4 linked regions of the Diceros bicornis minor genome follow. The protein of the gene in region 4 interacts with the protein of the main gene of each other region in a biochemical or structural test. Links are inferred from orthologs where the notes say so. Each region holds a gene or a part of one and is shown on either strand. Other genes may lie near its edges. The genes, in order: JAG1, NUMB, NFKB1 and NOTCH1.

The links.
Region 1: the proteins of NOTCH1 (region 4) and JAG1 form a complex in vitro, tested with the Homo sapiens proteins (3 studies listed by BioGRID and IntAct, with this or other methods). The link is inferred for Diceros bicornis minor from reciprocal best matches to the Homo sapiens genes NOTCH1 and JAG1.
Region 2: the proteins of NOTCH1 (region 4) and NUMB form a complex in vitro, tested with the Homo sapiens proteins (2 studies listed by BioGRID). The link is inferred for Diceros bicornis minor from reciprocal best matches to the Homo sapiens genes NOTCH1 and NUMB.
Region 3: the proteins of NOTCH1 (region 4) and NFKB1 form a complex in vitro, tested with the Homo sapiens proteins (2 studies listed by BioGRID). The link is inferred for Diceros bicornis minor from reciprocal best matches to the Homo sapiens genes NOTCH1 and NFKB1.

The regions. Positions count from the first base shown.
Region 1 is NC_080758.1:38,196,627-38,204,402, forward strand, and holds the start of JAG1 (protein jagged-1), read right to left. Parts: upstream 3,015-7,776; 5' UTR 2,622-3,014; coding exon 2,541-2,621; intron 2,116-2,540; coding exon 1,810-2,115; intron 1-1,809. UniProt on the Homo sapiens protein: Ligand for multiple Notch receptors and involved in the mediation of Notch signaling. May be involved in cell-fate decisions during hematopoiesis. Seems to be involved in early and late stages of mammalian cardiovascular development.
Region 2 is NC_080763.1:21,565,678-21,573,585, forward strand, and holds the start of NUMB (protein numb homolog), read right to left. Parts: upstream 3,017-7,908; 5' UTR 2,932-3,016; intron 2,726-2,931; exon of another isoform or gene 2,703-2,725; intron 1-2,702. UniProt on the Homo sapiens protein: Regulates clathrin-mediated receptor endocytosis. Plays a role in the process of neurogenesis.
Region 3 is NC_080747.1:84,937,292-84,944,265, reverse strand, and holds the start of NFKB1 (nuclear factor NF-kappa-B p105 subunit), read right to left. Parts: upstream 3,005-6,974; 5' UTR 2,502-3,004; intron 1-2,501.
Region 4 is NC_080767.1:42,289,239-42,296,809, reverse strand, and holds the start of NOTCH1 (neurogenic locus notch homolog protein 1), read right to left. Parts: upstream 3,009-7,571; 5' UTR 2,787-3,008; coding exon 2,726-2,786; intron 1,010-2,725; coding exon 928-1,009; intron 1-927. UniProt on the Homo sapiens protein: Functions as a receptor for membrane-bound ligands Jagged-1 (JAG1), Jagged-2 (JAG2) and Delta-1 (DLL1) to regulate cell-fate determination.

The sequences.
Region 1 (7,776 bases), on a different chromosome or scaffold from region 4:
GATCAATCGTTTCTCTGCTCTCACACACTGCTTCCGCCTCCTTCCCCACCCAGGACTCTCTGCCAAGTGTCAAGAGGGGACAGACACACCTTCTAGGTCACGTTTCCCTAGCCAGCCTGGGGAGCAAGGCTCCCTGTTTTCATCCAAGCCGTCCTCTGACCCTGCTCTCCAAAATGAACCTCAGCCAGGCCTGCAGCTTTCCCACATCACTAATAAGATTCCTTTTATGGTCTTGTGAAAAGCGAGGGGCTCCAGAGGATCCTCCGGAGGGTGGAACCACCTGCAGGCCCCTTCCCCCTAAACTCCAAACACACGTTCAAGGGCGGTCAGAATCCACAGTCATTGTGGGCCCAGCCAGATTAAAAAGCGGCCAACCTCTTTAGCTTAAAGTTCTCCCTAATAGGGGATTAACAAACAAGATAAACGCTCTTTGTAAAAATGAAATCCCACAACACAAGCAGCCCTCCGTTCTCAGAAAACTCCACATACCACAGGTTTTTATAAACCTCTTTTAATGGCATGTTTCTGATAACTGTCTTATCTCACCCACGGCAGAGGGCACTTTACAATGCCAGCTCCTCTAAACGTGGGCCTTGAAAGCCACTCCAAGTTTTACGGCAGACATTCTCCCCTCCCCAAGTGGCGAATCACAGCCCCAGCCCGCGGATAGGAGGCAGCAGAGCGCACCCCATCAGAGCACGTGGCGCAGAGTATTCCCCCGGGGCGCTGAGCTCCCCCTCTCAACACCCACCCTCCCAGCACAGGCTCGGCCAAGCCCCGGTCCTGGCAATGAGTCACGCCTCCGGGACAGCAGGAGGGGGGCAGAGGGCACCAACATTTTTCCCTTTCCTCTCCTTCTGCAATCACACTCATCTTCCTTCCACCCATTTCAGGATGTCGTAAAGGCCTCGCTGCAGGTTCTGCCAGCGGGGGCCCGGACCTCGAACAGCACCGGGGGCTGGAGGGGCGTCCATGCACTTGCAGCCGCAAGGACTGCTTCTAGCGGGCCGCCCCTTCCAGGTCTTGGCACGCCCCCGAAGGCTTGCGGGGGCTGTGCGCCCGCCGGACAAGGGCGCACCCCCGCCCTTCCCGGGGAAGTTTGCAAACACAGCTGTTCCAGAGCCCGGGAACTGCTGGAAGTTAGGCCACAAGGGCTACACCGCGCGGGGGCGAGGGCAGGAAGGGGCCGGCAGGGGGCGGAGGCTCCCGGGCCAACAACTCCGGCGAAGGCCCGAAGACCCCCCCCACCCCCACCCCCTGCGGCGGTCGCCCCCGTCCCCTTGCGCCTAGCCGGGAGCGCGCCCCCGCACGCACCAAAACCTCCGGGGCAGCAGCGGGAAACGGGCTCCCCCACACCCTCCAGGAAGGACACACCCGCCCTCCGGGCCGCTCACGGGAAAGGGGAGGGTGCCAATTTGGACGGCGTTCGAAGGCCAGAATTGCGCGGAGTCCGCCTTTCAGGGAGCATCGGGTTTAATTGGTTAAGCAAAGATCATTTGGGGGGAGGGGGTGGGCAATTACTCTAGAGCCTTCAAGTTGTAAGTTTAAACCGGCCTTCCTGGGATCTTTGCCCCACAATCCCCTCTGGGGTCTCCACTTTTGTGCGCTTTGCAAAAAGCAGCGGAGATGGGGCCCGCCGAGTTCTAACTGTAGAATCTTGGCTCCCTAACCCTCCACCCCAAACGACTTCCCCAGTTACCGCCGAGTTTCAAGCCAAGACCCTTAAATCCCTCTCACAAGAGAAAGCAGGGCTCGGCAGGCGCGGGTGCGAACCTCGGCCGGGCCTCCCTCCCTGCGTCCGTCACTCACCGGCCAGGCGAAACTGAAAGGCAGAACGATGCGGTTACGGTCGTTGCCGCGACTGCCCTTGAGGTTGAAGGTGTTGCCACCGATGACAGGAGTGGACCCCGAGCCGAAGCTGCAGGGTCCCCCGGCCGTGACGCGGGACTGGTACTCCTTGAGGCACACTTTGAAGTACGTGTCACACTCGTCGCGGGCGCACTTGCGGTCCCCCGGGTTCCGGGCGCCGCCGCAGCAGTTCCCGTTCTGCAGCTCCCCGTTCACGTTCTGCATGGACAGGATCTCCAACTCGAACTGGCCGGAGGCCCCGCACACCTGCCGGAGAGGGAGCGAGGGAGGTCAGCGCGGGGGAAAGTTGTTTTCTTCGAGGGTGGAAGTGGCGACTCCCTAACCGCCTGCCCCGACGAGCCCTCGGCGCCAAGTGAGAATAATTTTGCAAAAGTGGGTGCAAGGGCTCAGCGTTATTCCCTGGCATGAAGTGCACGAGTGCGGGAGAATCAGACGACTGCCCCCGGGGAGCAAGAGGGGAGCGAACGCGCCCCCTGCCCAGCCTAGAGGGTACATTTAGAAGGCTGGGGGCTCCCCCAGTCCAGGTGTAGCTTCTCGGGCGCAGGGGCCCAACCACGCAGCCAGGCGCCCGAGGGCTCCCGAGCCCGCTCGCGGCGCTCAACCGCAGGCGTCCGGGACGCCGCGAGGGAAAGGAGAGGGCGGGCCGGGAGGGAGGCCCGGCGGGCTCCTACCTTGGCTCGCAGGGCGCAGAGCAGGGCGAGCAGGAGGCTCAGGGGGCGCCCGGGCCGGCCGCGCGTCCGTGGGGACCGCATCGCTGCGCCGCGCGCCGCGGGCACTCGGGAAGCCGCCGCCGCCGCCGCTGCTGCTCGCGCTGGTGCTCCCACCGGTGCTGCCGTCGCCGCTGCTCCTGCGGCCGCCGCGTCCCGGCTCTAATATACTCCGCCGATTGGAGCATGCACGACTGGAAAACAACACCACTTTTCAAAAGCCCTTTCAAGAGCGGCCTGTTCCAGAAGGCAAAGAGCCCGGCCTCCTTTTATTATTCTGATCGCTTCTTTGAGGCGCTCCCCCTCCTCTTCCACCTCCCGGCTTTCTTTCCTTCTCTCGCGCTCCCCTTCTTTTATTATTATGATTATGCGCAGCCTTTTATTCCCTTTCAGATCAGCTGCATAGAAAAGAGGGAGGGGAGAAAAAAAAAAAAACCCCGAGCCCAGCTCGCGGGCCGGCCGCAGGTAACACAATGACGCGTGCCCGCCCGGCTCTCGGAGAGGGACTCGGAGAGCCCGTCTGGGAGCCGCGGCCCGGGCTGGCCACCTCTACCCAGCGCGCCGAGCAGGCGCATGCGCTTATTAATATTCATGAGGGGGCGTGTCCGCACAGGACACGCCCCTTCCCTCCCGGTTGGTGGGGAGGGGAGTACTTGGAGGAACTTTGAAGGCTTTGGGGGCTCGGGGACACGCAGGATGGCGAAGACGTCGGGGGCCCAGCGCAGACCCCTGTTCTCCCGAGCTTCGGGCCCGGGAGGGCGCGGGGAAGGGCTGGGAAGTGTGCTTTGTTCGGGGACGCCCCGGGGCCCCTCGCGCGGACCGCCCCCTCGGGCGCCTCAGCCGGGGCGTCTCTGCCCGCCCGTCGGGGCCCCAGGTGTAGGCGCCGCCGCGCTGCCTGAGCGGTGGGAGCGGGGCAGCTTCCGCCTTCCGAGCCGCCTGCGTCACCTGCGGCTTTCGCCCCGGGAGGAGGGTCTGCCCGCCGGGAGCCCGGCCCGCTTCCCGCGAGCGAGCGAGCCGCCCAGAGCACGCTGCTGGCGGCAGTAGCGGCAGAGGCGGCGGCGGCGGGAGGCTGGCGCGCTCGCCGCCGTCTGCTCGCCCGGCGGAGGCGACCCGGGCAGGCGCTGCTGGGAACTTTGAACAACTTTCCCGGAGCCAGGCTTGCCGCAGATTCGGGGGAAGCCTCGGCCGCGCCCCACCCCCTCCCAAATCCGAGCCTGCGGAGCCTCGAGGGCTCCCAGCTTCCTTCCCAAACCACGCCAGGGGCGAGAGGGACAGGAGACACCGCGGGGACAGGGCAGCGGGCACGCAGGGGCCCTGCTCAGGCGTTGAGAAGGGCGGGCAGAGATGCCGTGGGGCTTGGGCTCACGCCCTGCCCGGCCCGCTGCCCGGGCCGCAGTGCCGGGATTGCACCTGTAGGCGGCCTCGGAGCAGCTCTCTGGGTGGCAAGAGATGAGCGTGGAAGGGGCCGTCTCGCCGCCATCGCCAGGCAGCGGAACTTGGCCTCTCGGGTGGCAGTGGAAACCCATGCTATTTTCCACCTTGAAGCGAGCCTTGCAGTTAACAGCGACAACTCCCGGTCATAACCAAGGGCAAAGGAAACTTTCGGGCTGGCAGAAGCCTTTGCCAACCCCTCTCCCAGCGGACCTGCTGCTGCGTTTGAGGGGATCTCTTTCGGGAAAAGATAGATTTCCACTGAAGAGTGGACGAAGTTTTGGCCCTTAGATTGGGTATGTCCTGTGGAAAAGTGTGACCATCTAGGGAGCAGTTCGTGGCTGGAGCCCTCCAGAGCTGTAGAGTAGGATAGGCTGCAATGGGTCAGGGGAAAATAGTTTCCAACACGCTGATTTAGGAGAGCCTAAAAGAATGGGTAATTTGTAATGATTTACTTACTGCGTTTAATTGGAGGCTTACCAATCAATGGACAGTATTTTCAGTGCCAGCTCTCATCACACTGGGGAATAGATGTAAGGCTCTTCACGTTGGTTCAAAGCCACCAAGGATGGTTTAGGAATCGTGGCATTTTAACAGCCCAAGAAATGCTCCTAAGAAATGCACCTTCTTAATGATAGTGTGTTCCATCTTGGTGATCATTGATGAGAGAATTAACAATCTGTGTTTGGAAGGGACATACGCAAGAGAAGAACAAGTTTGCAGCAACCTGGGCATTTTGTCTTAAAGTGCCCCTGTCGTGTCGTGTCCGTGTCCCGTCCCCCCCCCCCCCCCGCCCCGCTTATCCTAAACGCAAGAGATCCAGTTGCCAACTGTAATCTCATTTACACTTTTCTCACCAAAGTTTACACACAAACCAATCTCTCCCGCCTCTTATCTGCCCCTCCTCACCTCTATCCCCGAATATCCCCTAAGTGAGGCGCTAAGCAATGCTTTAAAAACAAAATGCTGGTGCTGGAAAAAGCACCGTTCATTAAGGCTGGTGAAGTCTTAAAATGCACATTCCTTGGAGTTCCCCATGTCTGAATCTATTTTAACTCTGGGCCCTGGGGCCTGCGCCCTGCATACACCTCAGGAAGGAAGCTGTGGATGCAAGAGGCCTTTAGATGAAGAGTTTAGACCCAGCCGCCTGCTTAACCAGAGAGGGCTACCTCAGATTGCAGGTGCCTCCAGGTAGCCATCTGGGCTGCATGTAAGCTGGAGGTCGGCTCCAAGTCACAGGTGAATTTAGCCCCCGTCTAATAAGGAAAGGAACATAGATTTCTGAGGGGTCAAAACTATCTGGTTAACCTTAACAGAAAGGTCAAATCACTAATAGACACAAAATTCTCATGCCAAATAGCACGGTGTCCCTCACCCGTCCTGAGCCTGGGAACCCACTTTTAGAGAAGACAGTTGTGGGCTAGAGGGGATTCTTTTGAAAATTTTCAGTTGGGACTCTTTCAACTAATTGGTACTCCCCCAAAAAGCCAGTCACGTTTACCGCAACAGACTTCAAGTGGAAGCTCTAGCCCCCACTTCCTTGCAGCCAGTTCTCAGCTTCTCTCTCTGGAGAATGGGGAACCACTGTGGAAAGAACTCAAATTTGCAGATTCCCCCTTGGCCAGGTCATATCCTGCCTTTGGATATAGCCTAAAGTAAGTGAACATTCCAGAAAAAAGTTCCTGTGAAAAATACCGTGTTTAGCCGTCACACCTACACCTGTGAGAAGGGGAAAAGCTTGTGGTCAGTTACTATGCCATGGGCTCTAATCATAACCATCCTTGAGTATCTTCTTTCATTTTAAAAAGAGGATGCTTCATTTTTCTTTTTCCACAAAACTTACCGTACGTTTACTGAGTCATCAACAAATAGCAGTGCTGAATTCCCAAAAGGCTTAATAAGAGATGTTCTAGCTATAATAACTGTATTTAAATACATTTAGTCAACTTAAATTCCTGGTTAATCAAGACTGATAAAAATCAGCAAATCAATATTTATTGAGAACTATGTTACCTGCAGCAACATGGATTATCTCAAAAATATGCTGAGTTACAGAAGCCAGACACAAAAGACTACATCTTGTATGAATCCATTTATATGGAGTTCTAGAACAGGCAAAATAAATCTATGGTCAAAAAATATCAAAAGAGTAATGGCTTGGGGAGATGGGAGAGTGGCGATGAACTGGGATGTGCTTGAAGCCTCTTCTGGGGTAGGGGTAATGTTCTGTATCTTGAGAAGGGTTTGGGTTACACAAGTGTATGCACTTGTCAAAATTCATTAACTACTACACATGACTGGTGCCTTGCATTATGTGTTCAAAAGAGAAAAAAGTTGTAATACTGAACTTGAGTTAATTATATGAGTGCTGAAGTATTTAGAGGGAGGTGAAGTGATATTTGCAACTTGGAAATGCATAAAAAAATTAGAGGGCTTGGTGGATGGATGGAAGATGGCTGGATGGATATATGCTGAAGCAGAATAGTGAGGTGTTAATGATAGGATCTGTGTGGTGGGCATCTGGTATTCACATAAAATTCTTTCAAATTTCTCTATGTTGGAAATTTTTCACCACAAAATGTTGAGGAAAACAGTTACTGATGTGCCAAGTATTGTGTAGGGTGCTAAGAATGTGGTGGACAACACCAAAATATTGGACGTAAACACTTCAGAGTAGAGAGCATGCTTTGTAAGGGGTGATGATAATGTAGATGGTAGTCATGAATAAGAAGGAGATGGTTCCTTTTCCCCCATTCCTTTTCATCCTAATTCTTTTCTTCTTTCCAGTACATAAGAGAGAAAGGTCCAAATATAGAGAAGGGACATGTGAAATATCCTTTAATATCTTTCTTTTTCTTTGAACATTGAAAAAAAGTTCCTACAAGTTCACAAGCCCTCTTCCATGGAAAACCAGATGTGGTATCTTTCTGTCCCTTCCCAGCTTAACCGAAGGATGCTCCGATGTCCTACAAGCTCTTCTCTTGTTCCACCACTTTACTGTCTTAGAAAATGCAAGCTCAGGCCCTGCCCTGTGGCCTAGTGGTTAAATTCGGCGCACTCTGCTACAGCAGCCTGGGTTAGGTTCCTTGGTGCAGACCTACACCACTTGTCAGCAGCCATGCTGTGGCGGGGACCCACATACAAAATAGAGAAAGACTGGCACAGGTGTTAGCTCAGGGCAAATCTTCCTCAGCAAAAAAAAAAAAAAAAAAAAAAGCAAGCCCCCAGTAAACTCTGCCCAGCCAGTTCCCCAAGGAAGCACAGCATCTGAATATACAGCTACCTCCATGGATTATTCTCATTCTTCCACGTCACAAGAAGTTCTGAAGGAAAAAAAGCCCAAACCAACCTATGGGCAATGAATTAGATGTTAAAAAAATCAGGTTAAAGTTATAGCTCCCATAGTAACCATAACCAGGCCACAAGTTTATACATTCAAGCATAAATTGAATAGATCCAACCATTTTTTTCAAAGCGTCATTTTACATACACAGGAGATCTGAGTTAATTTTCTTGGGAAACCAGAACTATGAATTTCTTGCTTTATCGACAGTAATTTTGTATGAGCTTTGTTTTAAACATTGTTTTGGTTTTGTCTTGAGCTCAGTTATTTATGATTTTGCTTATCTTGCCCCAATCTTGTCTCACAGACATTACGTGGAAACCTATCAGGACAAATAGAGCCACATGTCCATGTCCCCTTTGAAAAACCAATCACAGGGGCTGGCCCGGTGGCGCAAGCGGTTAAGTGTGCGTGCTCCGCTGTGGC
Region 2 (7,908 bases), on a different chromosome or scaffold from region 4:
TATTGTAGATTACATTTAGGTCCCTCAAATAAGTTAAATTTACAACATATGCGATATCCAGTTCCTTCTCCAACGAGAAAACCATCAACACAATAGCTCCCGCAAAATAAACTATTTACTTTGTAGTTAAGCCTCTATCCCAGGTGTATTTTACTGTCAAGTATTATCACTATTCCCTCTTCAAAAATCTAGATATATAAAATACACAAGTATATCCGGTTCCCTTAAAAAGGCTTTTATATTATATGCTTTGTATTAGTGTAAGGCAATAAAAAGCTTTAAGATGCATTTACTCTCTAAAAAGGAAACACCCTTTCACTTTTCTCTTTTGAAAAATGTGCTTGGTTTTTACTTATTTTCTATACATGAACTGTTCTCAAACCAGCCCATTTCAGTGTTAGTTGTTTACTGTCAATATGTCTGTGTATACTCAGGTTTTTTTTACAGACACTGCTTTAAGGTACAGTGGGAAAAAAAAAAAAGAGAAGGTAAACAAGAGGGCACAAGAGAGACAAGAGTGCACCACATCTGAGAAACACCAGTCAATTTCATTTCCCTGCTTCAAATTCCCTTAAATCCTCACCCCCAAGATTCTCAGTTTCTAAAAAGAGGCATAACACAATATGCGATAAGGCAAACACAGGAGAAACCAAATCAGAAACTGAAGAAATTTAATAGACTGTATCACCACCTGAGAAAGAACTACCACATAAAGAAGAAAAATAAAGAAATAAATAATAAACCCAGTCCCTAGATACCCCTAGTGCTTTTGCTGCACTGCATGGCTCAAAACAATTTTTCAAACTCTTTTCACTGTGAGCAATACATTTTACATTGTGACCTAGTTCACGCATGTATGAGAAAAGTTTCCCAGAACAACACTTTTCCCTACTAAGTGCAGTGCCAGTCAATTCTGTTCTATTCTATTTCATTTTATTTTCAATGCTGGTGGTAACCCACTAAATTAATTTCATAAATTACTAATAAATCATGATCCACAGTCTGAAAAAACATAGCCTTAAAATAAGGTATCCCTTATATTAGGATCTTTTTTGCAATTTGCCTCTACCTGTCTCTAACAGGGTAGACAGATATTTTCAAGTTGCTACATTATTACTGTTTTCATTAAAGCAAGCTCTTCTTAACCTGTGGTCCCCTGACCATAAGCATCACCTGAGATAAATGCAAATTCTCAGGCCCCATCCCAGACCTACTCAATCAGCAACTCTGGGTAGGGTCAGAAGTCTGTATTTTACCAAGCCCTCCAAGTGATTCTGGTGCAAGCTAGTTTGAGAACTGCTGCGTTAAAGAACTCAGGTCTGTCTTTATCCTTTATTTAACAATCCAGTACACAGCGCTTACTCTGTGCCAGTCACTATTCTAAAAGCTCTACAAATACTACGTCATGAGGAAAAAAAAAAACCCTATGAAGTAGGAACTATTATTATCCCTATTAAACAGAGGAGGAAACTTTTGCACAGAGAGGTTAAGTTGTTCAAGCTAAGTGGTGGAACTGGAATTCAAACGTATTTCTAATTTAGCAAGGATATGCCTATCCTTTTCGCGACTCTCCTGTCTTATCAAGTCCCCAGTCCTATTCCTTTAGTTCAGCTACTCCTCCCCTTTCCCCTTTCAAATTCCCCATCCTGTCAACGTCCTGATTTTCTAATATTACTGCTGTCATCTTAAAACAATTGTTTTTTCTAAAGCACTGGAATGCAAGTCACTTAGTCTTGCTTTTAGGACCTTTCCTCAGGTCCTAGACGGCATCTTAGTATTATGAAGCTAGGAAGTGTCTTCTATTTCTGAAGTCCTTAGAACCTATTAATGACCCCACTGTTAACTTCTCATATCTACTATTCTGGCTGGTTTCCACAAGACCACTCCTCTGTTCCGAAGCAACTTTCTCGCTCCCTCCTACTGCGCCCTAGCTACTACTCCCTTCCTACAAGGAAATTATTTCTCCCCGCCCACCCCCGTGTCATTTTGCTTGACTCCTCTCCAACTGAGAAAACTTCCACTCCCCTGCCAGACCCCTCACCCCCGTCCCCAGTCTTAAACCCGAGGTACGCCTCGAGGATATTTTTCCCGGTCCACCGAGGATCCTCAGCTCCAGGAGGTCCCAGCCCAGTCTGGGGTCTCCCATCCCAGACCAGCGGCAGGGGGCCGGGCGCTCCGGGTCCTCCCCAAGCTGGTCAAGGTCTCCACAGGTCCGACCCTCCTAACTCCCGCAGCTCCCTAAGTCCCCAGGAACCCTCCTCCCTCGGACAGCGGCCTTTCTCAGGAGGGTCCCCAGCCCCCTCCCTGCCTTTCCTCAGACGCCCTTGCCCCAACCCAGGCCGCTCCCTGTCACCTCGGACCCCGGCCGCCCTCGGTCTCCCCACCGCCCTTCTCCCTCGAACCCGAGCCATTCCCAGTGTCCCGGCCCCCCCAGCTCCCTCCGCTCGGGCCGCTCCCGGGCTTCCCGGGTTCCCCCTCTCCCTTGCACCCAAGCTGTCCCGGGTATTCCCGAATCACTCGCCCTCGGATCAGATCTTTACCGGTCACCGCAGGTCACCCCCTCTCTGGGACTCCGGCCGCTCTCCCGTCTCCCCAGGGACCTAACCCTCACACATCAGTCGCCGGTCAGTGCCCCAGACCCGAGCGGCTGGACGTCCCAAGGGAACTCCGGCCTGACCCACTTCGGTCCGGCCCCAGCCTACCTTGCCGACGCGAACTCCGCGGCCGGGAGCCACGCCATTCTCCCACCAGCCCAGTCAGCGCGAACTCGTCGCCGCCGCCGCCGCCGCCGCCCCCGCCCCGGCCCCAGCCCCGGCGCGACCCGGCCCGCAGTCCAGGCCCTCTGCCTCTGGCCTCCGCCTCCGGAGCGCCAAGCTGGAGTTTCCGCCCCGCGACGGCCCCAAACCTCAGGCCTGCGTTACAGGCACTCACCTGCCGCTGCCCGCGACTAACTCTAGCGCCACTGCCTCTACCTCGGCCGCCAGCAGCCACCTAGCGCCACCACCTCCCCCATGACAACAGGCCCACCCCGTTTCATACTTCCTACCTGTCCATTGGATAGTGGGGCGGCTGCTCTCTGCTCTGACTGGCTTGATTTACCTGTCCGTCATAGCCTCCTCACCGCCCCTTTTCCTGGACCCGGTATTAGCACCCGCCCGGACCTGGAGCGTCCCAGACCAAGCTTTAGTCGTAATTGGTTGACGGTTGGGCAGTTCGAAATTATGATAGGCTGGCGAAAGTGTCTGTTAAGTCAACTGGCAAGGGATATGACCGCCACGGTTGGTTCAAGCTTAGGCACAGTTTGGTTGCGCAGTAGAAAGCAAGGAAGGGGTTGACGCTCACATCCGAGGTTACCGGAGAAAGGTTAACTCTTTGTTGTAGAGTGCAGACTGTAAACTCATCACTTTCTCCAGCTCCCTCCCTATAAGGAGAAGCTTATTTCCCCTTCTTTTCTTGAGGTCTCAATGCGCTCAATTTCCTTGAAGTTCTTTCCAGAAGTCTCTATGCTAAAGGGCAAAGCACAACTTTATTTAGAAGAAATCAGTCCACTTCGGTTGCAATTATAAACGTCGTTAATAAACTGAAGCGGCGTGTGGAGTGTTCTCCAGCTTCCAGACTCACCCCTGCTCCTGCGAAGTGACCAGGCAGCCATCGGCAAGTTTGGACTACAGTTTACCCTTGTGATGCTCTGGAAATGAGAAGTCCGCACCCCCCCGCCCCCGCCCCCACAACGTGATTTTTATATTCAGCAGTTCTTAAATAGCCGTAGTAGATGTGTGTCAGATACTTAAAAAGCTTGTCTTTTTTTCTAAACCTCTCTTCTTCCTAGTGGTCTAAATTAGAACCATTGAATGAATTGCAGTTCTTTTCTCACATTGGCACAATGCGCAAGAATAAAGGATTGCTTTTTTTTATTCGTTTGGGTACAAATCACAGTAGGCACTTTTGAGAAATCTGGTGTTGCTATAAAAACTCTAGTGCTCCTAGAAATGTATCTATCATTAGCTTTTTGCTTTTCTTTTTTATGTCCACTCACTTTTCCGGCTCCTAAATAACAAAATGCTGGCCTGATTACTCTTTCAATTTCTAAAGCAAATTTAAACGCACCTCCCTCACAACTCCATCTATAATACACAAACCCATGGGCCATGAAACATACACCCAGGGATGGGTTGGGACAGGGCAAGGAGGTATTCCCCTCACAAGCGGTGCTTTATGATTGGGAACTTCCTGTGGGACCAAGAATCTGGACTTTGGAAATTTTGTGCTTTGCCCCTTTCTTCTTCCTGCTAACTCTTTGTCTCATATCTCCTATTTACCCTCCTGTCCTTTGCAGGGCAAGGACTCTAAAACTGTATGGTGCGTTTTCCAGGAAAAAATTGTGTATTTTCTAGCCTATATTTTTAGTCAAATTTGAATAAACTACATACCTCTATAACCAAACTAAGCGGAAATTATTCCTCCAGTAAATATACATAACAATAAGGTGTCTTTTCCTAGTTATTTTCCAGAACTTTCCTCCCCCTTCTCTCATCCCCACCTTCCAATTTAGAAGTAACCTCCCCTTCAATTCAATGACTCATAAAAAGCCTGTAAAGGAAAGTGGAAAAGCGAAAATAACTTCAGAGATGTCTGAATCATTCAGTTGAAGGAAAGATCAGACATTGACCATGATAAGATGGAATCCAAGACATAAGGCAAGCCTGAACTAATATCCCATAACAAATGAAGTAACATGCAAATATGAAGATGCTCCAATGAGAAGGAGGTATCAGTATGTCCTTTCACAGGCTTTTAATATATTACCAGCAGCTTTCTTCTCTCTAGTCTTGGCAGTGTGCCCTACCTACCAATTTTAGAGCAAGTTAGAAGGCAATTAATGTCCTGGCAGATAGGAAACAATAACGTCATGGGAGGGCATGGCCATTATTATGGTACTTTGGGTAATAATGACTCTTGCACAGCCCTAGTGACTAGGTGCCACAGAGAACATAGACTTAGGCCAGCCTCACTAAGAGGGCTTGCCATCTAAGTTCAGGAACTCAACAAAATTACTATCACAAAACTAGGAAAATTGCCACAAATGTCAGCTATTCACTCTATTTTATACACTAAACGTTTTTGCTCATACATGCATATACACTTCTACCACTCCCATTCCTTGTGAAAATCAGTGAAGAAAAGAAATGTAAAATTAAACATGTACAACCCAGTAAGAAGAGAGAAAACCTTAAAGAAAGAAAGTTTTAAGGAATGTTCTTTGATCCAACAGAAGGCTATTGTGTTATGGAGGCCAATGCAGTACTGGAAAGGTTATTGCTTGGACTCTATGTTTTGATTTTGCGTGCACAAGGTAACCTTAGAACGTAACTGCTCCATCCAGCTTCTCTTTTCTGTCCTGTGTTATGTGCTTCTCCACCACTCTCAAGGCCCCCTCTTAGAAAGCGAGAACTCCAGGAGTCAGGAAGTCTGCAGCTTTGTGTTGTGTGGCGGGCTGTGGAGGTGGTGCAGATGGTATCTCTTCAGAGCCACTTGAGCAAGACCAAGATGGCAGGTATGTTAAAGGCAAAAATAGCCTCTATAAATCCTGATTAAGTGGCAAATGAAGGACTCAGAGTGATGTCCCAATATCTAAGGAGCAGAGTGGTTTGCCTTGGGCCTTAGTGTATGCCAATGCTACATTTTACTCTCTTTTCTTTATCACTCCTGCCCTCTTTTCATCGTATCGCTTTTTGAGGGAGCAGAATCTGAGTCTCCTTTCATTCCTATTTTAGTCCATGGGGGAAATCTCACTCGGGAAAAGCTCCATTTTTTGTTTTTGGACATTTTCCTCCTGGATTCTACACACAATTCCAAGTGGGTTAGAGAAACAACTGGTGGAGAAGAAAATCACTCAGCAGACAAGAGCCAGAGCCACCTGCTCCTAGCAGTTGGAGGCAAGCCAAGATATTTGATAAGAGGTGGTTCCCTGAGTTAGGAATCCCTGAAGGTGGAGGCTGACAGGGACGAAGGGATTGGAGAGGAGGGAGGGGGAGACAGAGAGAGATAGACATAGAGATATAGAGATAGAGATGAGAGAGAGAAGGCCAGTAGAGAAGAGGGTAAGGAAAGCTGGAAAGAGTCAAGAGGCCACAGAGTGCTGAGCTAGCTTAGATAGAGTCATAGCCTCACTCCCTGGCTGTGGACTTTACACCAGGTTGCACAATTACGCCAACAAAAGGCAGCCTCTGCCACTAGTTAAAAGGAGAACTGTGCCAGAACTCTACTCTGTGGGACCATTGCTCTATTGCCACCTGGAAATCCTCCCTGAGCTTAAACCTGCTGCTCTGGCACAGGGCAAAGCTGACAAGGAAGGATAGATTCATGCAGCCCGCCAATGAATGTATCTTTATTAGATTTCGTAAAACTGACCACTGGCATGAAGCTCTGGATGAACAAAGGGAAACTATCTAGAAGAAGACGTTTTTACCGTCCCAAACTGGGGAGCTTCCAACACAGGGAAGTGCCAAGCTGCTTTCCATGCAGGAACAAAGCTCTGTGATTTCAAAGTTCAAGGCTCTGTTCTACGGAGGGGAAGAAGAGCGCGCGCGCACACACATCAGTGGAGGAGGGTGTTCTCTAGGGGAGAACCATTTGTTTTCCAATTCGAGGGCTCATATGATTTTTAAATAGCAAACCATACCTTCTCATTACTCAATGCAGCCATTTTCATCCTCAAGAAAAGTGTGTGGGGGCCGGCCCCCTGGCTTAGTGGCTAAGTGCGCGTGCTCCACTACTGGTGGCCCCGGTTCAGAACCCCCGGCGCCCACCTGATGCACGGCTTCTCTGGCCATGCTGAGGCCATGGCCCACATACAGCAACTAGAAGGATGTGCAACTATGACATACAACTATCTACTAGGTCTTTAGGGAAAAAAAGGAGGAGGATTGGCAATAGATGTTAGCTCAGGGCCGGTCTTCCTCAGCAAAAAGAGGAGGATTGGCATGGATGTTAGCTCAGGGCTGATCTTCCTCACAAAAAAAAAAAAAAAGAAAGAAAAGTGTGTTTACCCCTTTACCCGCCTTACATATTATAGGTAAGATGGCTTGAGTGCTTGTAAAATGGATGGGCTGCAGCTTTTAGCTCTGCCATTGTGCTGTTGAATGGAGACCCTGGTTACTATCACCAGATCTATGGCTAGATCAGCCATTCTTCTGCAGCAGGGAGTAGGCCGCTTAAAATACTCAGCACCATTTAAACTTTTGTCCATCCCTGTTTTACACACACACAGAGTTTCTTGGAAACATGGCTACACTCCAAGGATTTCAGAGAGTAGAATGCCTTATAGAACTCCAGTTTCCCCATCACTTGGAATCTCATAAGAAAGTAAACCTGGGGCCGGCCCAGTGGCTTAGTGGTTGAGTTCATGCACTCTGCTTTGGTAGCTCGGGGTTCGCAGGTTCGGATCCTGGCCGCGGAGCTACACACCACTTATCAGGCCGTGCTGTGCAGTCATCCCACATATAAAATAGAGGAAGATGGGCACGGATGTTAGCCCAGGGCCAGTCTTCCTCAGCAAAAAGAGGAGGATTGGCAACAGATGTTTGGCTGATCTTCCTCACCAAAAAAAAAAGAAAGTAAACTTGAACCTAAATGTGTTCAAATCCTGGCTCTGCCATTTACTAGCTGTGTTACTTTGGGAAAGTTGATTCATCTCCCTAACCTTCAATTTCTTCATCAACAAAATGGGATATGCATTAGTTATCTTTTGCTGCATAACAAATTACCCCAAAACTTAGTAACATAACATTTATTATCTCCATTTCTGTGGGTCAGAAATCCTAGTGTAGCTTAACTGGGTTCTCTGGCTGTGGGTCTTTCACAGGGCTGCAGTCATCTCAAGGCTTAGTCAGGATGGATCTGCTTTCT
Region 3 (6,974 bases), on a different chromosome or scaffold from region 4:
TTTCCACTGCAGTCATCTCTATGCTCGGAACAGGACATCTACTAATAACTTCTGAAGAAGAAGAAGATGGTATTTTGACTACTTTATCAAAAATCCATATGGAAATTCAGATATTTTTTAAAATTTATTGTTTTAAAATGTCAACTACTGTTCTTACTTCTCCCAAGTTCACACTAATGGAAGGTTATGAAGTAACCACTTCCCCCCAGAAGCCAGAACTTTCACCTTTTCTGAACAGGGGAATACCTCTCATAAATTAGGTAAAAAACAAGGTCCTGCTGATCGAATAATAGTCCAAGATCCCTGTAGCTGCCAATTCCTTATCCAGACCTTCTATCTACCACAAGGAGTAACCTCTGATAGTCAAGGTGGTAACTTACTTCATCAATTATCTGGAAGGCTGAAAGCAGTAGTAAAAACAACCTCCATAAATGTTAGTTTCTTAAACTAGCTTCAATTTGTTCCAAAGAACATGAGAAGAGAAATATGAGGAATATGATCACTAAAACTAAAATTCTGCCATTTCAGACTAATTGAGCTTTTACCAACTACAACTCAGTCATCACAGACGATCTTGTTTAAGAGGTAGAAGTAAGAAGGAAGTGCAAAGATCAAAGCAGTGCTTACAAAGGGGAACAACGATTTTTGTATGTATATTCCAGTATTTACTAACCGGGTCTGAAAAACAGGGGCATTTATTCAGCCCATGTGAACGCCAACTGCAGAACATAAGACAAAATTGAAATTTCAGAACAAAGATAATAGAGTTTCAAATCACCACCGATCCCTAACTGCATTATACTATTTCCTTTTAAAAGCCTTTCAAACAGGTTAGAAGGGGTTTACTGCTGACGGCAAGCAGCCCTTCAGTGCCAGCACGAAATCTCCACATAATGAGTCTTTCTTTGGCTCATGTTTGTCCAGGAGACTGTGGTCCAGGAAAACATTCTATCTAAACAAGCCCCAGAGGGCACTGAGGAGTTGCAGGTATAACCAGATGGATGAATAATTTCAGTAGATTTCATTTTTCCGTCTATTATATATGTTCTTCTCACCTTAGCAATTCAATTACGTGATAAACATAAAATGTTACAGGAAACAAATCTTTTATTTCCTGTCTTCCCAAGTTTGTAAGCTCAAAAAAATACTTTGCTTTAAATTATTTACATAATTTCTTTAGTGCATCAAACAGTAAAAGGATTCATCTCTAGAAAGCACAATATTAAAATCAGGAAAACAACATAGTTCAGCTAAGGGCTTTATTTTACTCAAGATTCCCTTTCAAAGTTTTAACAAACACTAATGCAATTTAAACTACTCAAGAATACTCAATTGAAGTATTCTGCTAGGAAAACAAGCACTGAACATCTTGATTTCAAGCTTTAGTGTCTACCAAAGAGCAACAGTTTGTAGAAGAACATTTGTATGCCAGAGCTATTACATGTTTTAGTAATACCAAGGCATTTTCTCAGATTATGGGCTTTATAACAAAAATTTTAAGCTAAATATAGTTCTTTAATAAGCTGAATGCTGAAAAACCCTACTCAACAAAGTCCATGAAAACGCCTTAAATCTTGACAATCAAATACCGTATCATTAAGTCCCATTTAAGTTTCAGGTTAGACCAATAAATCAGGGCAAACATCTCCATTCCGTACTTATTTTTAAAGACCACAGAAAGCTTGTATTTAGGACAGGCTTTGTTTATATCATTATGTTTGCTTTAGAGGTCAGGCACAATACATGGTGCCGTTGTTCAAGTGTTTCACATAATCAGAGTGTCTAAAAAGTGCTCTAAGTAGGTAATTTCTTTTCTTTCTCAAATGCCAGGCACTGTAGGATCAGCACCAGACCCTCCTTGTTTTCTTGAAGACTAATGTAGGGTCCTAGAGTAGGTGAGTTGAGTATATTATGTCGTGTGTGTGTGTGTGTGTGTGTGTGTGTGTGTGTGTGTGTGTAGGGGGGATTCTTTTTGGAGTAAGGGACGAGGGCATCAGGCTGTCCTCCTCAGTCTAGAGGGCCGAGGAGGGCTCTCCCAGCCTAAAGGACGGCCATGCACTTCTGCTTTCATTTCGTGAACCGCCCGGCGGTGAAATCTGGTTCAGCACTGCACGCAAACGCACCCCCTTCCCCTCGCTCCTCGGCGCCGCCGAAGCGCACCTCCACCTCAAGCCGCCCCTAGCAGGGGTGGGGTGGGGATAAAGCAAGTTTGCAAGAGTTCGCCCCGGTTCCCGGGCCCGCCCGGCGCGGGGACGGGAGAGAGAGGCCGGCCAGGCAGCCGCGGCCCTGCGGCCGACCGGCTCCTGCGCGGCCCGGATGTGCCTGTCTCCCTGTCGCCAGTCCCATGTGCCTCGCCACTCCTGTCAACCTCCTCCCGCGGGCTGGCCCCGCGGTGGCGCCGGAATGAGGAAGTCCGAAAGGGGCTGCAGGGGCTGCAGCGGGTGGGCGGCGGGCCTCGGGCACCCGGCCCGGCGAGGCCCCCCTCGCCCGAGGTGGCTTACCCTGGTGGCGGGTCCGCGCGGCCTCCCTGCGCCGGGGGCTCCCTCCGGGGGCGCGGGCCTGAGCGCTGCGGAGGGCAGAGGCAGCGGCCGCCGGGGCGGAGCGGGTCTGGTGCGGGCCGGGCGGGTCGGGCCGGGGCGCGGTCTCGCCGGCCAGGCCAGTCAGCGGCGCGCCATGTCCGCGGCGCGGGCGGAGGGAGCGCGGGCGCGGGAGGCCGCGGCGGGGAGGCCGGGCTGCGCGGGGCCGGGGCCGGGGCCGGGGCGGGCGGCGGGCGCGGCCGAGGGCGGCGGCGAGAGGCCCGAGCGCCGGGAAGGGCAGGGGAAGCTGTCAGCGCGCCGCCCGGCCGCGCGGGTGGCGAAACCTCCTCTTCCTGCCCCGGCCCGCCGGTGCACTTCTCTCTCGTTCTCGCTCGCTCACTCTCTCACTTCCTGGCTGGAAATTCCCACTGACGTCGAGAGAGCAGACAGACAGACGGACAAGCGCGCACGCCGCGGGGGCGGGAGGTGGGGTCGCCGCGGGGGTGGGGGAAGCCCGCACTGGTGGGGCGCGCGGCGAGGGGCGCGCGTGGGGCGGCGCGGCCGCCGGGTCCCGGCGGAGCCCGCTCCCCGCCGCGCTCCCGAAGGAGCCACGGGGCTAGAGCGGCGGGACGCCCCCTGGTAGGCCTGCGGGGCCGGCTGTCCCGGGCAGCAGGCGGCGGGGCGGCTGATAGGGTCGGGCGGTCCAGGGCCCCTAAGGACGGGCCCAGGCATCTGGAGGGGATGATGGGTCGGCACGGGGCCAAGCATGCTGTGTATAAAAATAAATCCCATCTGTATAGTCCATGTAAGTTGTCTCAGTTACGCTCAAATCTCTTCACAGATTAAACTGGAATTTCTCTATCGTAACTGAATTCTGTCCAGTGAGGTCTGAACATCTACTGGTTGTTGGTGAGATCTTAAATCTCCTGGTTATGACTGTTATTCAGAACTTTCATCTACAGGGCATTGTCAGGCCTTATGATAATACTGTGGATAGAGTTATAGTGATGGTGGTAGCAATGGTTTTGGTTCACAGCTCATAAAGAAATCCTGATCTGGCAGAAGAGAGATTTTCTCTTTTTAATGGAGAGACTGCTCCTGGAACCCACGGACAGATGTCTCCGGTGACCACCGTCCACTAGCATTGAGCTTCTCTACGTGCCAGGTGCTGTGCTAGGCGTGGGCTGGGGATCCCTTGGAGTAGATTACCTCCCCAATAAGAAATCTTGAGTTGGAATCGGTGCTTTAGAACTCATTGTCTCAGTGCTGAGTTCAGTGACAACTGTGTAAATTTAACTTGAAAACATCCGTAATCACGGGATCACTAGGCAGTGTTGCTGTGGCTTTAGATTGCTACTAGCAAGTTCTGCATGGTCCTTTCATGCCCACTGCCTGGCCTCTCCTCTCCCTCCCCAAGGTTATAAGAATCTTCTTGGTGGAGTGTTGGGCAGAGGAGTAGAGATGCATTTATTTGAGTCTGGGATGAGTCTCTGCAGGGACCTCGGGACCAACCAGCAACTTACAGTAGTCCTCTCCTGTTCAGAGTTTCACTTTCTGCAGTGTCAGTTACCCCAGGTCAAACACAGACATCCTCTGCATCCACCCATCAACTGGTTATGGCTCCATGATCCTCCTCTTAACCTTTGTCAGAAGGTCAGCAGTAGCCTAATGCTACCTCCCAATGCCTACGTCATTCACCTCACTTCATCTCATCACCTAGGATTGTATCATCTCACATCCTCACAAGAAGGGTGAGTACAGTACAAGAAGATGTTTTGAGAGACGGAGAGGCCACATTCACAAAACTCTTATTATAGTATGTTTTCATAATTGTTCTATCATTATTAGTTATTGTTCATCTATTACTGTGCCTAATTTATAAATTAAACTTTATCATATGTATGTATGTATAGGAAAAAACATGGTATATATAGGGTTCGGTACTATCTGTGGTTTCAGGCGTTCCCTGGGGGTCTTGGAACATATCCCCCGCATTCAAGGGGGGTCTACTGTACCTTTAAGCAATTTCATTTTAGCTCCCAGAGGCTGTCTGAACAGCTGGAATGCAGGGAATTTATACAGACTGAAGATAATGACTTTCTAGAAACCCTGTGTTATTATTTATGGAACATTGTTAGAAATTGTGCCAATATTATATTTTAGTAGATTAATATATGGTTTGCATAAAATCATTTTTGCCACTGACATGAGTATAAAGAGTGCAAACTCCCATGAAACAACAAAGTGTGGGGGAAGTGGTTTTTTTCTTTATGGGGTAGATGTGAGCATTCACACGCTTCATGCCAAAAGAATGGATAGTCGGGATCTTTAGAAGAGTAGAGCTAGCCTGACATATTTTGGGAACAAAAATCAACGAGTGTTAATTAGTGTTAATTAGAAGAGGATTAAGTTAAATTTCAGATTCAAAAGTATCCCATAGAATGAACTTAGAATTGAGGGTGGGGTGTTAAGCAGGTGTATTAGTTTCCTAGGGCTGCTGTAACATCCCAACACAAACTGGGTGGCTTAAAACAGCAGGAATGTATTCTCTCACAGTTCTGGAAACTAGAAGCTGTTGGCAGGGTCCTGCTCCCTCTGAAGGCTCTAGGCAAGAATCCCTCCTTGCCTCTTCCTAGCATCTGGTGGCTCCTTGCAATGCTTGGATTCCTTGGCTTTTAGCCACATTACTGCAATTTTTGCCTGTCCTGGTGTGGCCTTTCCTGTGTCTCTCCTGTGTCTCTGTATCCAAATCTCCCTCTTCTTCCTCATATTAAGACACCAGTCATTGGTTTAGAGCCCACCCCAATCCAGTATGACCTCATCTTAACTCAATTACATTTGTCAAGACCCTATTTCCAAATAAGGTCATGTTCACAGGTACCCAGGGTTAGGACTTGAACATATCTTTTTGGGGAACACAATTTACTGCACCACAGGAGACAAAATTATAAAAGCCCCCAGTCAACTCCTTTTGGCTCACAGCTAACCTTCTTGTATTCCTGCTTTGTTTCCTAACACTTTCTCTACACCGTCTACATGTTTGCTTCCAGGAATCTTGCTTACAAATTCATCCATTGTAAGGTGTCAGAGGGCATTTGCCATTATCAGGCTACAGAGAAAGAAATGCCTAAATGTGGGATTTCAGGCATCAAGATTATAGAAAGAGCAGTTGTGTTCTGTTTGTCACTAAATATTTGAAATCACATGAATTTCCCTTCTCATGAAGCTGAGTATTGGAAATGTTGGTGTCCGGAGAATTCTGAGTGTACATTGACAGTGAGAAATTATTTAGTGTGTGAAGGGGATTCACAAATACAGACTCATACATCTGAGTGTTACAAACTCTTAAGACCCATGTTGGGGATAGAACAGTACTGAATTGTATTTCTGTAAAGGGTACAACCCGCTTCGGGTCATGAAGCCACCTCAACATGCTTAGAAACACTCAGGTCACAGCTCTTAGCAATGGGAGCCAAGATGAAATGGAAAGACTTCACTAGACTCGAAATCTGGCTTGAGTTGGAATCCTGGCTTTGCCTTGAATTATCTGTGTAAGTTTTGCCAAGTAATAGTTTGTATGGGCTTCAGTTTCTTCACCTGTACAATAAGCATAACATGATAGCTTATATTATACACTGTATAATAGCTTTATATAATGTTTGTTTTTTTTGTGAGGGAGATCAGCCCTGAGCTAACATCTGTGCCAATCCTCCTTTTTTTTGCTGAGGAAGACCGGCTCTGAGCTAACATCTATTGCCAATCCTCCTCCTTTTTTTCTTCCCCAAAGCCCCAGTAGATAATTGTATGTCACAGTTGCACGTCCTTCTAGTTGCTGTATGTGGGACGCGGCCTCAGCATGGCTGGAGAAGCAGTGCGTCGGTGCGCGCCCGGGATCCGAACCTGGGCCGCCAGTAGCGGAGCGACGCACTTAACCGCTAAGCCATCAGGCTGGCCCTATATAATGTTTTATATTATATATGTTGTATTGCTATGGTCTGAATGTTTGTGTCCCCTCAAAATTCGTATGTTGAAATCCCAACCCCCAGGTGATGGTATTAGGAGGTGGGGCCTTTGGGAGGTGCTTAGGGCATGATGGCAGAGCCCCCATGATTTGGATTAGTGCCCTTATGAAAGAGACCCTGAGAGCTAGCTCTTCCCTTCCTCCATGTGCAGACGCAATGAAAAGTCTGTGATGTGGAAGAAGGCCCTCACCCAACCGTGCTGGCACCCTGATCTCAGAGCTCCAGCCTCCAGAACTGTGAGCAATAAATTTATGTTGTTTATAAGCCACTCAGTCTGTGGTATTTTGTTATAGCAGCCCAAGTTAGCAGACGAAGAAAAGTATATGCACATATATATGTAACAACACATATGTTGTCTTATGTACATATATAACAGCAATATATATGTTATATTATAATAAGCCAACCTCACAAAGGTCTAGAGACAAAGGGGAGA
Region 4 (7,571 bases):
CAACAAGACGAGTTCCAACTTTTCTCCCCAACCTCACCTGAGGCCAGAGGGGAGTGAGCTGGGGAAGGCAGAGCGCTGAGAAGGGTGGGTTTGACTTTGAAACAGCTAATTCCTTGCTAAGAAGCATTGCCTGCCTGGAAGAGGCATCACCTGCCGGAGGAGAGGCTCACCTGCCTGGAGGAGGCATCACCTGCCCGGGGGGGGGGGGAGATGCTCACCTGCCCGGGGGAGATGCTCACCTGCCCGGAGGAGGCATCACCTGCCAGGGGGAGATGCTCATCTGCCCGGGGGAGGCATCACCTGCCAGGGGGAGATGCTCATCTGCCTGGGGAAGATGCTCACCTGCCCGGAGGAGGCATCACCTGCCAGGGGGAGATGCTCATCTGCCCGGGGGAGGCATCACCTGCCAGGGGGAGATGCTCATCTGCCTGGGGAAGATGCTCACCTGCCCGGAGGAGGCATCACTTGCCCGGGGGAGATGCTCACCTGCCCGGAGGAGGCATCACTTGCCCGGGGGAGAAGCTCACCTGCCCAAGAGAGATGGAGAGATGCTCCCCAGCTGGCAGGGTGGTGGGGGCTGGGCTCCTCTACAAATGCTCCAGAGCCTTCCTGGCAGCTCAGTTGTTTCTCAGGGACTTAGGAAGAAATGGGTTACCAGGAATTCTCACCTAGCCCCCCAGGAGCCCAAGGGGGCCCACAAAAAAGTGCTCAAACCTCCAGTGGCCAGACCAGCTCCACACGCAGCATAATTGCTGGTGATTAAGTAATTGCCAGACTTTGTCCAATAAAAGTAGCACGTGACTGCGCCCAGCCTTCTGGGCCATCTCCAGAAGACAATGGCCTAGTGTTCTGTCCCTGCCGGCCGCCACAGAAGGCAGGGGCTCTGCTCCCGACAAAAGCAACAGGTCCCCGCAGGGGCGTACTCACACGCAGGCTTCAGTGCCGTTGGCAAGCACTTCACACTTCCCGCCATTCAAGCAGCTCTCGCCGGGGTGGGAGCATTGCAGGCCTGGGGAGGGGCGAGAGGAGAGGTCAGCCCTCAGCTCCGGGAAGGGCCCACCCCCAGGGCACCGCCCACCCCTCACCATGCAGGCTCTGCCCTGTCCTGGGGTTGCTTGGGCCCCGGGGCCCCAGGAAGCCCCGGCCTGAACCCCAAGGCTTCAATACTCTGCCCAGAGTTCTGTAGTCAGAAATGGACTGCAGAGGAGGAACAGGCTGGCTGGGTGGCAGGTAGACGGGTCATGCTCAAAATGGGGTGAGGTGGCCTGAAATGCCCCCTGGACAGCAGTGGAGAAAAGCTGAGATGATCCTGGGCCATTCTCCCAAACTCCGCGCCCCCCCACCCCGTCTTCACTGGGGAGCTGGGCTGGGCTGGGGCCCCTATCCAGCCACCGGGATTGTCTTGCTGTTCAAACACGTTCTGCGAGGGGGCAGTGCTGGGGGGGGGTGGCCACACTCAGCTCCCCCGCTCGTGGGAAAATGCGACAGCTGCAAGGCCGGCCGCCCCGCCCGCCAACAAAGCGCTGGCCGGGGAATCAGAGCAGCCCATTGTCATGCCAGGGCCGCCTCCTGGGGCACCAGGACTGCACCCTGGGGACCTGGCCCTGCCTGCACAGACACCCAATACCTGCTCCTGCGGGCAGGCATCTTTAGGGGCAGCCCTCTGCCACACCCAGGGGAGGGGGATGAAAACGCCCCATTTGGAAGGAATTCGACCCCATCCCCAAGAAAGGATCAATTAATCAAGCCCCTCCTCCCCATCTTACCAGGGCTGTGTAAATTAAGCCCCTCACCGGGGCAGGGACCGGGTGTGACATAGAACCCTACCTTCTGGAAATGGGAAACTAATTCTCACCTCCAACATTTTAAGGAAAGAGAAAAATTAATCACACTAGATTCCTCGCAGCCCCCTTCGACGGGAAGTGGAGAGAGGAATACGCGCCCCCTTGCCAAGTCCCACTCTCCACTTCTGTAAGATTTCCAAACTTGAACTCGACAAAGTGAAAGTCCCACCAGTTGCAGCGGAGTCTTCCGCACCCCCGCACTCCCCCGCAAACTGTCTGCAAGCCAGGATAGGGGGCGGCCATCCGGCGTGTGGGGGACACCGGCGGGCGGGGCGGCTAGGAGCCCAGGGATCCCTGGGTTCGCGCCCCTCGACCAGCCCTGCGCGATCTCTCGGAACGGGCAGGAGGCCGGGCCCGCCTCGCGCCCCGCTGCCCACCTTGCTCAGCAACCACGCCAGGCCGCGAACGCAGCGCCCCGGACCCCACACTGCGCGCCCCAACATCCGCTCCCGGCGCGGGCCAGAGGCGAAGAAAAAAGATAAATGGCCCCCAAAGCAACAGGAAACCAAAACCGACTCGATTCAAATCGAAAAATAGTAGGCAGTTCGCCCGCCCGCCCCGGCGGCGAGCCCCAGGAGCGGCTGGTGAAGGGCGAGCCCAGGGCTGGGCCTCCGGGGCCCCCAGCCTCCCACGCCGGGCTTCAAACCCGGCTCCAGGCGCGGGCAGCGCGAGTCCGCCCCGGCAGGGCAGGCGGCGCGGAGGAGGGTCAGTCCTTCTCTCCCAGCCCGGGACTCTGTACCCCCTTCCCCCGCTCCGGGGCGCCCGGCCCCCCTCCCCACCCTGGCCGCCTGTTCCCAGCCACCCGGAGCGCGCGCGTAGGGCGCCGCCAAAGTTTCCGAAGGCGCGGAAAGTTGCGGGTTCGCGGGCGCACGGGCGCCTACCTCGTGCGGCGAGCGCAGGCAGCAGCGCCAGGCAGAGCAGGGGCGCCAGGAGTGGCGGCATGCCTGCCCGCCGGCTGCCCGCTGCGCCCGGTGGCGGCCTCCTGCGCCGGGCCGGCGAGGCTCGGGCGCACACACGCGCGCGCCGGACGGTCTCACGGGCGGCAGCTGCCTGCTACTGCCCTCTCCTTCCTAGCTGGCGGGCGGCGCTGTGCTCTCGCGGCCTCCGGGCCCGGCTCCACGCCCCGACTCGTTCTTTCGCTGCGCTCGCGCCCGCGCCCCACGCCCCTGCACTCCCTCCCGCGGCCGAGGCACTAGTGAGGCGCAGGCGGCCGTGCGCTCCGCCCCCGCCCCGCCGGCCCCGCCTCCCGGGGCCCCGCCCCCGCCGATCCCTCCGCACCCCTCGCCCTTTCGCTGGCCGCGCCCCTCCGCACGCTCCGACCAGCCCTGCGCCTCTTCGGGCTGGGGCGCGCGTCCGGAGCCCGGGTCCTCCGGCGTTGGGGGCCGCGGCGGTGCGGAGGGCTTCGGGGGCCGGCCTTGGGGACTACTTCTTGTTGGAAAGTTTTCAGGGGCCAAAAGTTTGGTCCGAGACTGCGGAAGGATCCGGCTCTGGCTGCTGCCGCGTCCGGCGACAATAGCAAAGATTTGCATCTCAATAGCAGAAGAGGCGCGGGCGGAGTGGGGAAAGGAGAGCCTGTGGGGGGCCGTGCGCCACCGGGACCTGGGCCCAGGGAGGTGGGGAGGAGCGACCGAGGCCAAGTTTGGGGGGACCCCGGGCTCAGGAGAGGGGCTCTGGAAGCAGCCCCGCCCTCGGCAGCCGTGGGTGCGCCCCTCGCCCAGGGGCTCCACTGCCAGGAGCCCCACGGTCGCAGCTTTAAGCCTCCGGGAGACCGAGGCCAGACACCCCTGGCTGTGACGTCCCGGGCACTTGACCTGAGATATGGTGGCGCTGCAGCCGCAGCCTCTGGAAAGGGGCTCTGGGTACCCCAAGGAACAGCTTGGAGCCAACACCTGGCCGGACGGATTGCGCACCCGCTCCTCAGGAGGGACCTGCCTCTAGATGCTCCTTGGTCACTATCGTGCCCCTTCTGGCGCCTCCCGCCTAACGTGCCCCGCAAAGCGCGCGCTGGTCAGGTAGACCCGCCGCGAGCGCCGGTGCTGCCCAGGGCCCCCCCAAGTGCTCCTTCCAGGTGATTTGTTTCTCCGCCGCAGTACCAGATTTGGGCATCCTGTGCCAAGCCAGGTTAAGCTCTGGACGTCCAAAACGCCTGCCATAGTCCCTACGAAATCAAAGTTCAGGGCCTTGCACTGGAGACAGACAGCCCCCCACCATCCCAACACAGGGTGGTGAGCGGGATGGCAGAAGGTACACCCACCCAGCCCTGGCATCCTGGTGGCCTTCCTGGAGTAGGTGATGCCAGAGGGGAGCCTTAAAGGCTGCAAGGGACTTAGCTGGGTGAAGGGCATGGGGCACAAGCACCCACAGGACTGCAGAAATCCCAGAGGCGGGCAGAGAAGCAGTCCTTGCCATGGAGGTCCAGAGAGGCGGGCAAGAGTGGGGTGCCTCGTGGTGGGCAGATTGCACACCTGACCCCAGCCCGCCCTTCTTGGCACACCTGTTGCTGGACGCTAGTGGCAGCTGAGATGCTGTTGTGAGCACAGGCAGTCCAGGCCGCGGCAGCTGCTCCTGGGAGCCTCCCTCGCTGCCTCGTCCCAGAAGCTGGCGGCACTTCTCAGAGCCTGGGCTAACTTCTCTCGGGGTCAGTGCCCGGGAGAGGAGGCGCCTGGAGGCAGCAAAGATGTTTATATAACAGCAGCCCTGCAGCCTGAAGGAGCAGATTTTCCGTAGAAGGAAGAGGGGTGCTTCAAAGTCCCTCCCCTGCCCCCCCTCCGCCAGCTCACAGATGCTGGCTCTGTGAGCCACATCCCCCTCTACTTCAAGGGATGGACCGAAGGCCTTAGGCAGGGCGCTCCTCAGAGAGCGGCTCCCTATGTGCCCTCCGTTAGAGCCCTCTGTCTCTGCCAATAGGCCCCAGGCCAGACGTAAAGGCCCGTCCAGCCCTGGCTTTGGAGGAAGTTCTCACCCTTCTGCCAAGGAGCAGCAATAGAGGAGGGGGAGAGGGAGGAGGGCAGTCTTACCTGGGTCTGCCCAGTGTACCAGCTCTACTCTGGTGTCCCCCCAGGAGCCGGGCGCTCTCGTTATTAGCCTGTGCTACAGACGGGGCAAGCAGACACACAGGCCTCCAACTCCTGTGCCCCTGGCCACCTGGGGTACCCCCTGGGCAACAGGGGCCGAGGAGACCCCAGGAAAGCCAGAAGTGGCTGGGGCTGGGGAGGGCTTGTGTGTGAGGCCCAGGACGGTCCTGGGCTGGGCCTCCCTCCCCTCCAGTTCTGGGAAGGGGGCAGACTGGACCATGGCAAGTGGTTGGGAAGCTTTTTCATTCACAAATTCGGCCAGAGATTTCCTGCCTCCCCTTCTCGTCCTTCTTTATCAACCTTCCGGGGTGGCGGGGGGGAGGTTGAGGGAGGGGAGGGAGGGGAGTCCTGATGGCCTAGGACCTGGAGACCCTCTCCCATGGGGCACAGCCTGGGAGCAGTTGCAGAAGTGAAGGAGAGACAGGAAGAGGAGGTGCATGTGGCCTGGCCACCCCACAAATCCCGTGGGGGGCAGGGGCTGGGACGCCATGAAGTGGAATTGGGGCACAGCAGTGTGAAGACATTTTGGGCCTCCTCTCCTGGCTTAGGGTGGGGGTCCAGACGAGGTTCGCAGGGCAGTCCCCTGCTGAGTGGAGATGCCCCAAGCTGCCTGGGGAACCTGGAACCAGTGGGGGGAAGCTGCAGGCCTGACTTGCAGGGGGTGACTTACTGCCACTTTCTTCTCCAGGGGCCACCTCAAGCTCCCCTGGGCCAGCTTGCTGGGCCCTGAAGGGGAGAAGGCCATCATGTTCCGTCTGCGCCCCGGGCAGACCGAGTCAGGGCAGCTCCCCTCTCTCCTGCCTCCAGAGATACCGGGGTGCCAGCATCAGGGTAGACTGAGGGGACCGTGCTGTCATTGGCCCATTCCTGCCCCCACAAGAAAACCCATCCCAGCCCCCTCCTGAGAGGGGAAGGGGTCAGCAGTGACGTGGTCTGCATGGCGCAGGGGGTGGTCAGCGTGTTGAGGCTCCCCAGGGTCCTCAGGTGCAGCCAGGGCTGAGAATCCAGGTCCTGGGGTACCGGTCACTTTCCTTCCTGCAGTGACGGTCTTGGTGCTTCAGGTGCACCCCTGTGACCCCTGAGCCCAGGGTGGGGTGGCATCATTCTCGCGATTTTTCTGAGACATTGAAATGAGACTGGCTTGGAGTCAGGCCAGGTTGGGGCCCTAGTCTTCAGCAGGCAGGTGGGCCCCCCGGAAGGGTGTGGTGGGCTGTCTCTGTACGTGACAGGGCTGGGCATACATGACAGGGCTGCCCTCCCTGCTGTCAAGTATTGTTCACAACGTGGGGGCAGCAGGTCAGACTTAGGGTACAGGCACAGGCCTGCTTGGTGTGGGCTACAGTGGCCCCAAACACCCCTCAGGGGGGTTGTCTGGGGGAAGGGCTTAGAAGCTGAGCTGAGGGTGTGGGGGGCCTGTGATGGGTGCACAGGCCTGACCTCAGTGGGAGGTGCCGGTGCTGGTGGGGGCAGCTGTGGGAAGATTCCAGAACACAAGGGGTAGGGCCCATCCCCCTTTGGAAGTTGATTGTAAAACATATCTGACCTTCTTACAAAGAGAGGGCCTGGGGGCCTGAGAAGTGTCCAGCCTCTTATCTTGCCCCTTGTCCACCACAGCCAGGCCCACCACTGAGCTCTGACCGGCTGGCCCATCGAGAGACCATCACTGCCCCCTGGGCCTCAGTTTCTCCCTCCACCAAGTGAGTTCTAAAGTCCTGCCTGCCTTTTTCCATGGAAAACCAACTTCTCCTAGAGGTTTGCGCACTTCTCCAGGACGTGGTTTTAGCAGCTGTGTGGCATTCATTGCTGCGGGTGGACAGGCCAGGGCTGGCTCCCCAGGCTCCGGTGCTGGACGCTTGGCTGTGAGCAGCGTGTCTCCATGTGGGGCATGGGGGGTGCCCACTAGCTCCTCGCTGCTCTTTCCTAAGGATGGATTCCGGCCCACCTTGGAGGGCTTCCCCCTCGTTCTGAGAAAGGAGGGGGTAGACTGGGGTCTAGAGTTTGCTTCTCTGCCTGCCCCTCACCCTCCACGCAGGGATCCACTGTCCCCAGGCCCAGGTGTGCACCCAGCTGTCTGCACTGGGAGCGGGCTGGCGGGGTCACCTGCAGGTGCTGGGCATCTCCCCCGGCCAGCTTCACCAGGCCTTACCGGGGAAGACCCCTTGTGCCCTGCACCCCAGGCAGGCTGCATCAGGTCAGTTCTCTGCTCTGCACGTCTTGTCCTCTGCTGAAATGACCCCTCCCTCCTCCAGAAAGCCATTCCAGAGCCCTTGGGCTTCCCCGCTCCCTGCATCCATCTCTGGCATTCCAGGGGGATGTGCGATCCCAGATGCAGGTGCCCCCCACTGATGCAGACTGACCCTTGACTAACGGCAGGCGCAGTGAATGCAGGACTCTGCACAGGGCCCCGCCCTGCGGGGGTTCCTGTCCACCTGCCACCCACAGCAGTCACTACTTGGGAGCCCTGAGGCCTCTCGGCAGCTTGGGGCCAGGGCACCAGTTGGTTGTGAGCCCCCCTGCTGCCCCCGGGGGCCCAGGAAGGAGGGTCTGCATCCTAGAGGCAGGCACAGAGGCTGGGGAGCATGTTGCCCGGGCAAGTCCCCTGACAGGCAGCCTGCCTCCCGGAGCAGGTGAGCTGTCTATCTTGGGTGGTATG